Linked DNA regions of Oryctolagus cuniculus. The protein of the gene in region 2 interacts with the protein of the main gene of each other region in a biochemical or structural test. Links are inferred from orthologs where the notes say so. Each region holds a gene or a part of one and is shown on either strand. Other genes may lie near its edges. The genes, in order: DAB1, LRP1 and APOE.

Evidence for each region.
Region 1: the proteins of LRP1 (region 2) and DAB1 form a complex in vitro, tested with the Homo sapiens proteins (2 studies listed by BioGRID). The link is inferred for Oryctolagus cuniculus from reciprocal best matches to the Homo sapiens genes LRP1 and DAB1.
Region 3: the proteins of LRP1 (region 2) and APOE form a complex in vitro, tested with the Homo sapiens proteins (2 studies listed by IntAct, with this or other methods). The link is inferred for Oryctolagus cuniculus from reciprocal best matches to the Homo sapiens genes LRP1 and APOE.

The regions. Positions count from the first base shown.
Region 1 is NC_091438.1:115,176,219-115,179,984, forward strand, and holds the start of DAB1 (disabled homolog 1), read left to right. Parts: upstream 1-919; 5' UTR 920-983; intron 984-3,766. UniProt on the Homo sapiens protein: Signaling adapter of the reelin-mediated signaling pathway, which regulates the migration and differentiation of postmitotic neurons during brain development.
Region 2 is NC_091442.1:59,825,437-59,829,152, reverse strand, and holds part of LRP1 (prolow-density lipoprotein receptor-related protein 1), read right to left. Parts: intron 2,637-3,716; coding exon 2,505-2,636; intron 2,352-2,504; coding exon 2,217-2,351; intron 2,090-2,216; coding exon 1,960-2,089; intron 1,871-1,959; coding exon 1,744-1,870; intron 1,544-1,743; coding exon 1,392-1,543; intron 1,311-1,391; coding exon 1,186-1,310; intron 901-1,185; coding exon 523-900; intron 1-522. UniProt on the Homo sapiens protein: Endocytic receptor involved in endocytosis and in phagocytosis of apoptotic cells. Required for early embryonic development. Involved in cellular lipid homeostasis.
Region 3 is NC_091449.1:11,764,264-11,767,863, forward strand, and holds APOE (apolipoprotein E), read right to left. Parts: upstream 2,435-3,600; 5' UTR 2,392-2,434; intron 1,662-2,391; 5' UTR 1,624-1,661; coding exon 1,581-1,623; intron 1,293-1,580; coding exon 1,118-1,292; intron 821-1,117; coding exon 100-820; 3' UTR 11-99; downstream 1-10. UniProt on the Homo sapiens protein: APOE is an apolipoprotein, a protein associating with lipid particles, that mainly functions in lipoprotein-mediated lipid transport between organs via the plasma and interstitial fluids.

The DNA.
Region 1 (3,766 bases), on a different chromosome or scaffold from region 2:
GAAGAAATACTACTAATTGCCCTGGCTAGAATCCCAGCTCCACCTTTCATAGCTATCCATGGTCAGAGACAGGTCTCCTAAGTTCTCTGTTTCTATTCTCTTGTCTGCTTAATGACCTACATTGGTGTTTGCTCTTAGGAATAAATGGACTAACACATAGAATGACCAAAAGCTGTGTTTGTATGCTAAGATCATTCACTGAATATTAGCCTCACTATTGCCATTATTATGACTTATACCTCATGTCTCTCCTGAGAAACAAATATGACTAGCTCTGTTGGTGAAAGCACAGAAAAGTGCCCCTGTTGCACACTGTCAAGGAGAATGTAACATTGCACAGACTTTGTGTAGGGTAATTGGACAATACCTTTCAAAATTAAACTATCCACATTCTTTACCAATAATTTCATTGCAAAGTGTAATCCTATAGATTCATACAAGTGAAAAATGGATAATTTATGGCTTTTGAATTATAGCATGTGTATATTAAATATTATAGCATATATATGTAAAATATGTTATAGCATATATGTATTATATAGCACACATACACGTACGTGTGTGTATGTGTTTGATGCTTTGCTTCTCTCCTCCTCGTAGTCTAGCGTCTGCTAGGCTTGGCATCCCTGACCATTCTCCTTTGGTTGAGCTTAGCACAGTTCATATCCGTCTCCTCGCCCTGTGCCCACCTACACACCCCACAGCCTCTTTAGAATGGTACGCTTCACTCTGAACCGCTCACGTCAAGCTCTGTTGGATGACCAACTCCATACTTCACCCTTCTTTCATTTTCTTCCAGCATTGACGGTGACTGTTTTTCACTACAGCTGTTTCCTTGGCTTCTCTGGATGAGGATTCCTGCCTTGTGACCCTGGCAGTCTCGACAAAGCATCATCCAGTTCCTGCAGTCTAGACGCTGGACCTCCCTTCCCCAGCATCATCCCCATCCAGCTTGGACACATTGAAGGAGCCGTTTTCTAGTTGTAAGTAAATCACTTGACTTTTGCATGAAAACTGTTCAATTCATTTACTGCCCAGCTTCCTCAACTTTTGAGCATGATTCTGTGTCTCTCAATAGCTATTCCCATTTCTCTTTCTTTCTGGAACTCATTGCCTGCCCCATTGTTAATACTCTGAGGTTCATTATTTGTTTAATCACCGGTTTACTCAAAGAGGTTGTAGCCAGTGGAATCTGAGAACTGAAAGGCACTTGTCTTTGTTTTCCTGCAAGGTTCCATTCAGGGTTACTTGTCTCTGACTTAGATTGGAGACTAAATGGATTAGAATAAAACCAATTTATGGGAAAAAGGAAATGTTCACAGAAACAGCAATAGAGAGTCTTGCTATCTTGGCTGCATGAGATCTGCAGGCCTCACCAAGGAATTTAAAAAGTAATGTTTCTTATCATAAGTGACAGAAATATGCTGCTTTCTGCATCAATAGATATGAAGATTAAAGGGTCTGACCGTATTAAACAATTTTGCACAGCACCAGGCACTCTGGGCAGTGCTCTCTGCCTTATTACCCTTCATCTTGTGGCTATTTCAGGCCCAATTTAAGAATACAATGCAGTCTGGCTTTGCAAATTGACATCCTTTAATTTAAACTGTCTTGTGAGAGAATTAAGAAATTATGGAACAATTATTCGCCTTTAGCTGAAAGCTGGATGACATCCTGAGATTCCTGTATGTTAGCCATTTGAATTGATTAAGTCACATAATTGAATTACACCTTTGCCCCCATAATATCTTGTGGCAAATACGTTGGTGTTTCGTGTTGGGAAAATGCTTCCGTAAAAGTAGAGTAGGGGTCAGGGTGAGAGTTTGACTGGGTGTCAAAAAATCCTCAGAGCATTGTGGGCTGACACTTGGAGATGCTGTGTGGGAGGTGGATTAGCAGAGCAAATGTTGCATTTGGAGTAGCCCTGGAAGTTGGAAGATGAAAGCTACGTAGGATACAGAATACATCCTTTCCCTGTCTCCCTTTGCATCGCCCTTGAATATTCAGCTGATGCGTCTGCCACTCATTCTTAAAGCTTTTTTTTTGGCACCCCCACCCCCACTGCATGAACAAAACAACTGGGATGTGGTTCCTTTTGTCCTGCACAATCCCCACGTCCGTCTTCATAGCGGTCTCTATCACAGTGCTCCTTAGTCTCCCTGCCCAGGCAGGATGCTGAGCTGGAAAGCATGTCCTGCTCACCCAGGACAGTAGTGACACTCGGTAAATCTGTCGAATGAGGTTCTGTGTGAAATTCTCAAGGGCTTAGCCTCTAAACTGTTTGCTTTTGTGATGTGCACATGGAGGGAAGTAGAATCTGTGAATAATTTTGAAAGCATTATTTTCAGCATTTACATTACTCCCGTTTTTAGACATTTTCACCAAGGATGTATTAAACCACAACTCTTTCCATTTAATAAACGCCTAGTATACTAAGGTTCTACGCAAAGTTCATGAAAAAATGTGTTTGATAAAAGAAACTATGCATGAATTTCAAAAAACTTTTGCATTAAAGGGCAGACATGTTTTCATTTAATTTTTTTTCATGAAGGTTTGAAGTACTCTTACATACAAGAGCTGGGTTAGGTGCTGAGGAGAAAAGTAGCTAAAACGTATTTGCTGTTCTTGAGAGAAGAGCAATCCAGTGGGACGATTGCTGAGGGCTGTGCAGGAAAGAGCCTAGGTGAGTGCAGGGGCAGCTAGGAGGCAGCGGAGTGGGGCAGGGCCCTGAGAAGGGGCCGTGTACACTCTGTCTGGGTCCTCTCTGAAGTTGGCACTGCTGGTGTCTGCCCTGCTCCCGCGACCCCTCCCACATCATCCATTCTCGGACCCAGAAGAGAAGACAACTCTTAGAGGAATGTCCTGCCATCAGGCTGCACGTGTGCTTTCCGTGGAAAAACTCTCAAGGAGACAGTGGCGAAAGTACTGCTCCTCTACACCCCTCCTGAACCCATCACACTGCAGCATTCTGGGGCTTCATGTTCTTTGTTTATTCTGTATGGCGCAAGAATCTCTCTTTCTCCCTCTCCCTCTCCTTCCCTCTCACCCTCTCGCCCTCTCTCCCTCTCTCCCTCTCTCCCTCTCCTTCCCTCTCCCTTCTCTTTTTAAAAAATCTTTCACTTTTCCTTTATCAAAGCACACTCTCAGAGCTTTAAAGCCCAACCACAGCCATCCTCCTGAATATGTCTGTGTGGAAGGGATTAATCAAGTCTGCCAAACACTGAGCTCTAAAACCTTTAATATTTCTAAAAGGTTTAAAGCAAGCGTATTTATCACATGCATCATTGAGAATGAACTTTCTTTAAAAAAAAAAATAAATGCTCCTGTAAAATATTGTGGTGATGGGCACGGTGGGTGAAAGCCCGGTGCAGGGCCCCTGTTGTGATATTGGAATGGGGGTTCTGGTGAAATCTTCCCCTGACGTCAGCCACTAGCAGCTGCCCACCATCTCCCACACATCTGTTTATATGGATATTTATATTGTGGGATTCAAGAATCTCAGTGCTCTGAGTGAAAAGCAGGAGAAAGGAATTAATTGCTGTTGAGTGCCTGTTCCGTGTCAAGTGTAAGTCTGTATGCTTGGTTCTCACATTTTAAAATCTTCAAAACAATTTTATGTCTAGCCTGGTAACTGATTCAGAGACAAAGAAGCTGAGATTGAAAAGCGAATCAGTTTTCTCAAGATCACGTAAATATTCATTTGAAAGCCTGGTGTCCCATAAGCGTATCTGATTCTCTCATTCTGTTTATAAGGCAAATGCTTAGC
Region 2 (3,716 bases):
ATGAATGAGCCCAAGGAGGAAAGGGAGTGGACACAAACAGCAGTTCCCAAGGAGCCCAGGGCCGTCCTGGATGACAGTCTAAGCCTGCGACTGCTTCCCCGTGCACCCGCACTGGCCCCTGGTGCTGAGCTCGACTGCCCGGAGCTGGGGTGGGGAGCCCGTCTCCCTACACAGCCCAGCACACCCAGGCTTGACCAGGGAAGCAAGCCTGTGCAAGTTGCTGAGATCCTAAGGGGCCAGCGTGGAACCCCAGCTTGTGTCTGCAGCCGGAGCTGTGAGTGTTGGGCTCCAGACTTTGGCCTGACTCTGGGCATCCCTGGAGGAATGGGGGAGGGGATGACAAGGGAGGAGGGGGGTTGGGCAACAGCGACTCCAAATAAGGAGACTTTTATGTAGCTGACAGCGGGCTCAGCGCAGCTGGACTGCCACTTTTGTGGGACAGTGCGGCAGGTGGGATTCGGATGTGGGGCAGGGGAGGGCTGTGAGAGTCTGTGGCGGCCCCCCCGGCCCCCGGGCACTCACTCTCCACGATGGTGGTCCTCCCCGAGCCATCGTCATTGATCTGCTGGATGTTCCCAAAGTGGATGTCACTGAAGAAGATGCGATTGGGGGTGCCCGGGGAGGTGCCCGCCCGGTAGTCGAAGGCCAGGGCGATGACATTCTTCATGTGCTCGGGGTCCTCGAAGGGTTGCACAGGTGCATTGAGGTTGCGCTCGTCCGACAGGTGGATGCTCTTGAGGATAGTGCGCTCCGAGTAGAGCAGGTAGCCGGCGTACTCCCGGCAGGACGCGCCGTCTTCCGCCAGCATCCCGTGGGCGCAGGCGCAGGCTCGCTGGCCCCCACCCCGGTACAGGCAAAGCTGCTGGCACCCGCCATTGGCCACGGCGCACACGTTGGTGCCTGGGGGGAGGGGGAGGTCACAGGGGGCAGGGTCTGCCTGGGGGAGGGGCTCTCTGGTGCTCCTGTCACCTGGACCCTGACCTTGGCGCCTGCTCTGCCTCAGCATCCCCAGCTCAGTCAACCCTCCAGGCCCTCATCCCTCAACTCCCAGATCAGCCCTTGTCGCCAGCCTCTCCCCTCCCCCCATTCCTGGTCTCTCAGGCCTTTGGAGGGCACCCCTCCAGGCTCCACCTTCTCTCCCAGCCCCTGTCGCTCTGGCCCTGGCCCAGAGCGCCAGCCTCACACCTTTCTGCCGGTCGCGGTTGAAGACCTTGATGTCTTTGAGCTGGACGCCGATGCCGGTTCGCAGGGGCACGGAGTCGGTGGCGTTGTCCTTGCTCCCGCGCTTGATGGAGCCGTTGGCGTGAGTCCTGGGGGCAGGGAGAGGCGTGAGCGGGGCGCGCGCAGGGCAGGGACGGGGTGAGGACGGCACACGGAAGAGCAGCCCTCACCGGTCACTCCAATAGATGAAGTCCTCAAACACAGACACGGAAAACATGTCCATGTTGTTGCTGGACAGGACCACCTCGCGGCTGTCGCCCGTCTCCAGGTCGATGCGCTCGATCTTGTCGGTGCGGGCGTCGCACCAGTACAGCTTCCCATCCTGCGGGCACAGATGCCACCTCACTCCGGGACCCCCACCCCCTGCTCTCCCCACTCACCCCTGCCCGTCCCCCGGGTCCCTCTGCTCTGCACGTCGCCTCTGGGGTAGAGGAGTCCTGCTCTGGGTGGGAGCTGGGCCCCTGCCCTCTGCTCTCTCACTGGCCGGGGCTCTCCCCACCGGCTCCATGGTCACGCCCAAACCTGATAGTCCACGGAGATGCCGTTGGGCCAGCTGATGCTGACGTTAACCAGCACCACCCGCTCGGTGCCATCCAGTCGCGAGCGCTCGATGCGCGGATACTGGCCCCACTCAGTCCAGAACAGGTACCTGTGTGTGGAGACGAAGGGGACGGGCGTGAGAACCCAGATCACAAAAGTGCCAGGGCTGGCCCCGAGCCAGCCCGTCCAGCTGCTCACCCCTTCTCCGGGTGCACAGTGATGGCCCGGGGCTTGTCCAGACCCTGGGAGATGACCACGTAGCGGAAAGAGCCATTGAGCCGGGCCACCTCGATGACGTCAAAGCCCTGGTCTGTCCAGTAGATGTTGCCTGCGGAGGGAGTGGGGTGCAGGGAGGTTGGTGGGGGGCACGCACACAGCCCCAGGGACCCCTGCAGCTGTCCATCTGTCCCTGCCGACTTCCTCTCCCATCCCCTCTGAGGCGCCCCAGCACCCACCTGCGATCCAGTCCACTGCGATGCCCTCCACACGGCCAATGCCGTTGGTCACCACGTCCTCTCGCCAGGTCTGGTCGCGCTTGGCCCGGCTGATGGTGCTCAGGCCCATGTCCACCCAGTAAATGGTGTCGTTCTCTGCAAGTGGAGGTGCCCACGTGAGGATACCCGGTGTGGCGGGGGCAAGACCAGGGGCCAGAATCATGCAGCAGGTGTCAGGTGCTGGGGGCCAGTGCAGGTCCCCAAGCTCCTGGGTCACGTCCCGCCATCCCCCGTCACCCAATGTCTCACCAGCATGGAAGTCGATGCCAACAGCCAGCGAGGTCCCTGACACAGGGACCAGGGCGTCTGACTTGTCATTGGGATCCAAGGGGATTCCCCGAATTCCCTCATGCACGGAGTACAGGAGAAAGGAGCCCACGCCTGAAAGGCAATGACCCCTCAGGCACGGGCCTCGCGACGCTCCTTGAAGCCTGGCTCTTGCTACCTTCACACCGCTCTTCTCTGCTTCCTCTTTGGTATCTTCCCCCCAGCCATCGCCCCTGACCCAAAGGTGTCTGAGACCCAGAGCCTGGCGCTGCTGAAGAAAGTCCTCCTGGCTAGAGGGCGAGTGCCTGCAGGACCTCTCACGGACATGAGGGGGCAGCAGAGACGCGGCTTTCTCTCCCCTCACTTGGCCCTTACAACACAAGGCGGGCGGCTCCCCACAGAGGCCCTGGGGGAGGCTCAGACAATCAGGATGGGACGTCTCCAATCTAGATTTTCAGCTTGGCACTCCGCCTGACCTTAGCTTCCTCTTTGTCCTCCCTCTGACTGGTCCAGGCCACACCCTCTCTCCAACACCCAGAAACCTTCCCAGCACCTTGCTTGCTGCCAGCCCTCCATTCCCCGCGTAGCCCTAGCCCTCCCTTGCCTTTATCCTCTCATGCAGGTTGGCCCCAAATGAACGCCCAAAGGGGCCCCAGTGAGGGAAAAACCCGAATGCTACAGGCCGTGCTTGCATATTTACTCCTAACGTTGCTTACTAGAAGTGCTTATTTCTAATAGTCTAATGTTCCTGATATTTGAATGCTGGAGTCCGTGCCTGAAGAATTCTTGGTGTGCACGGACACATTCAAGGCTCTGAGAAGTTCTGCGAAGTTCCGCAGCCTCAACGTTGCCTCCCTGCCGTGCCCACATCAAAGGCGGAGGTTCCCAGGGGCCCATAAATCAGTCAACAGGGGCTCGTGAAACGCCTCTGACTCTCAGCCCAGACCCTGCTGCTCACCCTGGGATTACCCCAAAGCCTCCTAACTGGTCTAACTGCCTTGGTTTCTCCTGCTCCCCTGCTGCCGCCAGCTTAATCTTCCCCAAACACCACTTCCAGGCACCACCAGCTGAGAACCCGCAGGAGCCCCGCCCTCCCGACCTCACCGCCTTATCACCAGGACTTTCCCACACCCAGCCCAGCGCTCTGGGCTCAGGGCCCTACGCACAGTCTCCAGCACTGGGCTGGGGCACGGC
Region 3 (3,600 bases), on a different chromosome or scaffold from region 2:
ACCCAGCAGCTGCTGTGGAGGTGGTGAATTTTATTAAGGGGGGGCGTCCACCGGGGCGGGGAGGCGGGGCGCGCGGGGCGGGGGCGGCCCGCGAGGCGCTCACTGGTTCTCGATGGGCGCCGCCGCGGGCGCCTTGCTGGGCATGGCGGCCTGCAGCTTCTCCACCAGCCCGGCCCACTGGCGCTGCATGTCTTCCACCAGCGGCTCGAACCAGCTCTTGAGGCGGGCCTGGAAGGCCTCGGCCTGCAGGCGCATCTGCGCGGCCTGCTCCTCCACCTTCACCCGCACCTCCTCCACCTGCTCGCGCACCTCGTCCAGGCGGTCGCGCGCGCGGCTGCCCACCTCCTCCAGGTGCCCGCGCAGCCGCTCGCCCCAGGCCTGCGCGCGCTCCCGCAGCGGCTGGCCGGCCAGGGTGCTCACGGTGGCGGCCCGCAGGCGGCCCTGCTCCAACAGCGGCCCGAGGCGCTCGCGGATGGCGCTCACGCCGCGCTCGGCGCCTTCGCGGGCCCCGGCGCCGTACACCGCCATGCGCTTCTGCAGGTCCTCGGCGTCGCGCAGCAGCCGCTTGCGCAGCTTGCGCAGGTGCGAGGAGAAGCGCGCGCGCAGCTCCTCGGTGCTCTGGCCCAGCATGGCCTGCGCCTCGCCGCGGTACTGCGCCAGGCGGTTGCAGACGTCCTCCATGTCGGCCTCCAGGCGCGCCTGCGCAGCCTGCAGCTCCTTGGACACGCGCGCCCGCGTCTCCTGCGCCATGGGGCTCAGCTGCTCCTCCAGCTCCGACTTGTAGGCCTTCACCTCCTTCATGGTTTCTTCCATCAGCATCCTGCGGGGCCCAGGGGGCGGGAGGGCGGGCGTGAGCTGGGGAGCCAGGGCTGGGTGCACGCTGGCAGCGACCAAGGGGCCCCAAGGACCAAGCGAGGCCCAGAGGAGCCGGCGAGGAGGAGGGGGCTTGGGAAGGTGCGAGACAGCCGGAGAGGTCAAACCGGAGTCAGGAGTGGGAAGAGGACGCAGGAGCAGGGCCCCCGACCCCAAGGACGCAAAGGCATCTAGACTGGCCGAGGGTGCAGAGGCGCCCCCCGCCGCCCCCCAGGAGGCTCCTGGTCAGGGCGGGGACACTCACGTCAGTTCCTGGGTGACCTGCGAGCTGAGCAGCTCCTCCTGCACCTGATCAGACAGCGACTGTACCCAGCGCAGGTAATCCCAGAAGCGGCCCAGGGCCAGCTCCCAGGGCTGGCCGGCCTTCCACCTGGCCTGCTCCGGCACCTCCACCTCCTGCTCCGTCTCGGCCCGGCATCCTGTGCGGGAGCAAAGTGGTCAGGGGCCGTGCGGGGTTCGGGCCGCGGGGGCAGAAGCGGGTGGGGTCTCCGCTCAGTCGGCAAACACTGATGGGCCTTGTGTGCATTAGGAACTTCAACGCCCATTTTATGGGTGGGGAAAGCCGAGGCCCGGGGGAGAAACAGCGGCTCAGAACCGCAGCAGGCCTCAGAGGTCTCAGCTCGGCGCGCCTCCTCCCCAGGACAGGGGGCTGGAGTGCGGGCAGGGGCCGCGCAGCAGGGGAACCCGAGAAAGCCCCGCCCCCATACCTGCCAGGATCGCCGCCGCCAACACAGCCCACCACACCTTCATCTTCCCGCCTGCGGTTGGTCAGTCTTGGGAGGAAGAAACTGTCAATCAACAGCGGAGGAGGACGGTCCCCTCCCCCCCGCCCCGGAGCCCAGCTCCGGCTGCGCCCGGGCCCAGGATCCCCAAGCCTCGCCCTGGCCCCTGTCTGTGACAGCCTTAGTCCGATCACAATCATTTCACCAAGCCGCCCCTGGGGGGCTGCACAGCTCCCGCATTGTCTGCTCCAGTCTCCCCATCCTCCGGCCGGCTCCGGGGCCAGAATTCCATCTCCCTCTCCCAGGGGTCGAATTCCACTCCCCCAGCCCCCCCACCCCCGAGCTTTCTGGCTCCAGGCTGGGCTTCTTGAGTTCCATGTCGCATTCCTCGTCCCGCCGTCACATTCTAAGCTCCAACCTCACGTCTAAGCCCTACTTGCCATGTAGGAGCTGATTGAACCACGGTTTTTAACAAGTCGGTCTTGGGACGTAGTCCCTGTTTCCCGAGACCCCAGTTGCGGAGATGGGGTGCCGGGAAGGACAAATAAGTGGCAGCAACCGCCCCAGGGCTCGCTGTGGCTCCAGCTGCTGCCCCACCCCAGCCCCAGCCAGGATGGGATGTCCCTGCCTGAGGTCCAAGCCCTGCTTCCAGCCTCAGCCCTGCTCGGCCGTCCTTCTGTCCCGACGCAGGCACAGGCCACCACGTTCTCTCCCACAGCCCGTCCCCAAGTCGCTCCCTTGCCCTTGGACCCCCCCTTTCCCTGGAGGCCCCTCAGCCCCCCGCTGTGCTGCTCACCGCCTCCTGCGGAACCTCGCCTGCACCTCGGCTGGGGCAGAGCAGGGCGGCAGGGATCCCTGACGGGTCCAATTATAGGGCTCCCCCTGCCCCGCCCCTCCCCGGGGCCAGGGCGGGCTGGGCCAGCCCCCAGTCACGAGGTGGGCTGTTCTCCCCCCTCGCACACAGCAGGGCGAGGAAGGAGGTGGGGCTTGGAGGCCCCGTGACCCCCGCCCCCAGCCCCTAGGAAGGGAGGGGCGCCTCCCTCGGTGTCCCACGTCCTCTCCACTGGGGTGCAGGCGGGGACTGGGCCGGCTGCTGCTCCAGCACGCCTTCCCTGTGCCCGGCTGGAACTTCTGGGTTCTGGGAATGGATGGGGCTTAGGACCCCCACCCCCCAGGGCCTGAATGAAGTCGGAGTGGAGTCTGGACTCCCGGCTTAAGTTAGGGCACAGCAGGAGCCCAGGCAGGGCTGGGGGCAGCGTGATGAAGGCCAGCGTCCCACGGTCAGGGTTTCTGTTCCAATTCCCTCCCAGGCGGTGCAGGTGCGAGCCTCTGGGACCCCCCCCCTTGTTTACTGAGATCGCAGCACCTGGCTGGCAGAGGTGGTGGGCCCGCCCGCCAGGAGTCACCCACACGTCCTCTTCCTTGCAGTTTGCAGGACTGTTGGGGCTTGCATCCTGGCACTGCGCGCTGCCAGCTGTGTGACCTTGGACAAATGACCTCCCCTCTCTGAACGGCCAGTTCTTTGCCTGCACAACCAGGCAAGCAGCGGCATGCGCCCCGCAGGTTTGGTGATGCAGGAGTGAACGGCGCGTGCCGAGGCCAGCGCCCTGCACACGGTGGGCCCACACCTGGGCAGCCTAGCGCGCTCCAGCAGTCACCTTCCCATGGGCTCCTGCCCCCAGCTGTCCCAGGGACTCAAGGCCCAGGGCTGGGTTGGGGGCAAAGCCGCAGCAGGCACTGGCAGTCGGCCCTGTTTCTCAAGGCGCAGGGGAGGCGGCCTCCCCAGGTAACTCGGGGACATCACCCAGCAGCCTCCTCGCCAGGCCTCGGGGCGCGGGTTGGCCAAGTGCTGACAGCGCCTCCTGCGAGGCGAGCGGGGCCGCACCCCTGCACCGGGACTGTGTCGCTCCAGCCCCAGATGCAGCAGTCCCAGTAGCTCTGCTTGAGGCTCCAAAATTCCAGACCCGCCTCTTCTGGAAATCTGCGGAGGCCGGGGGCCCAGTTC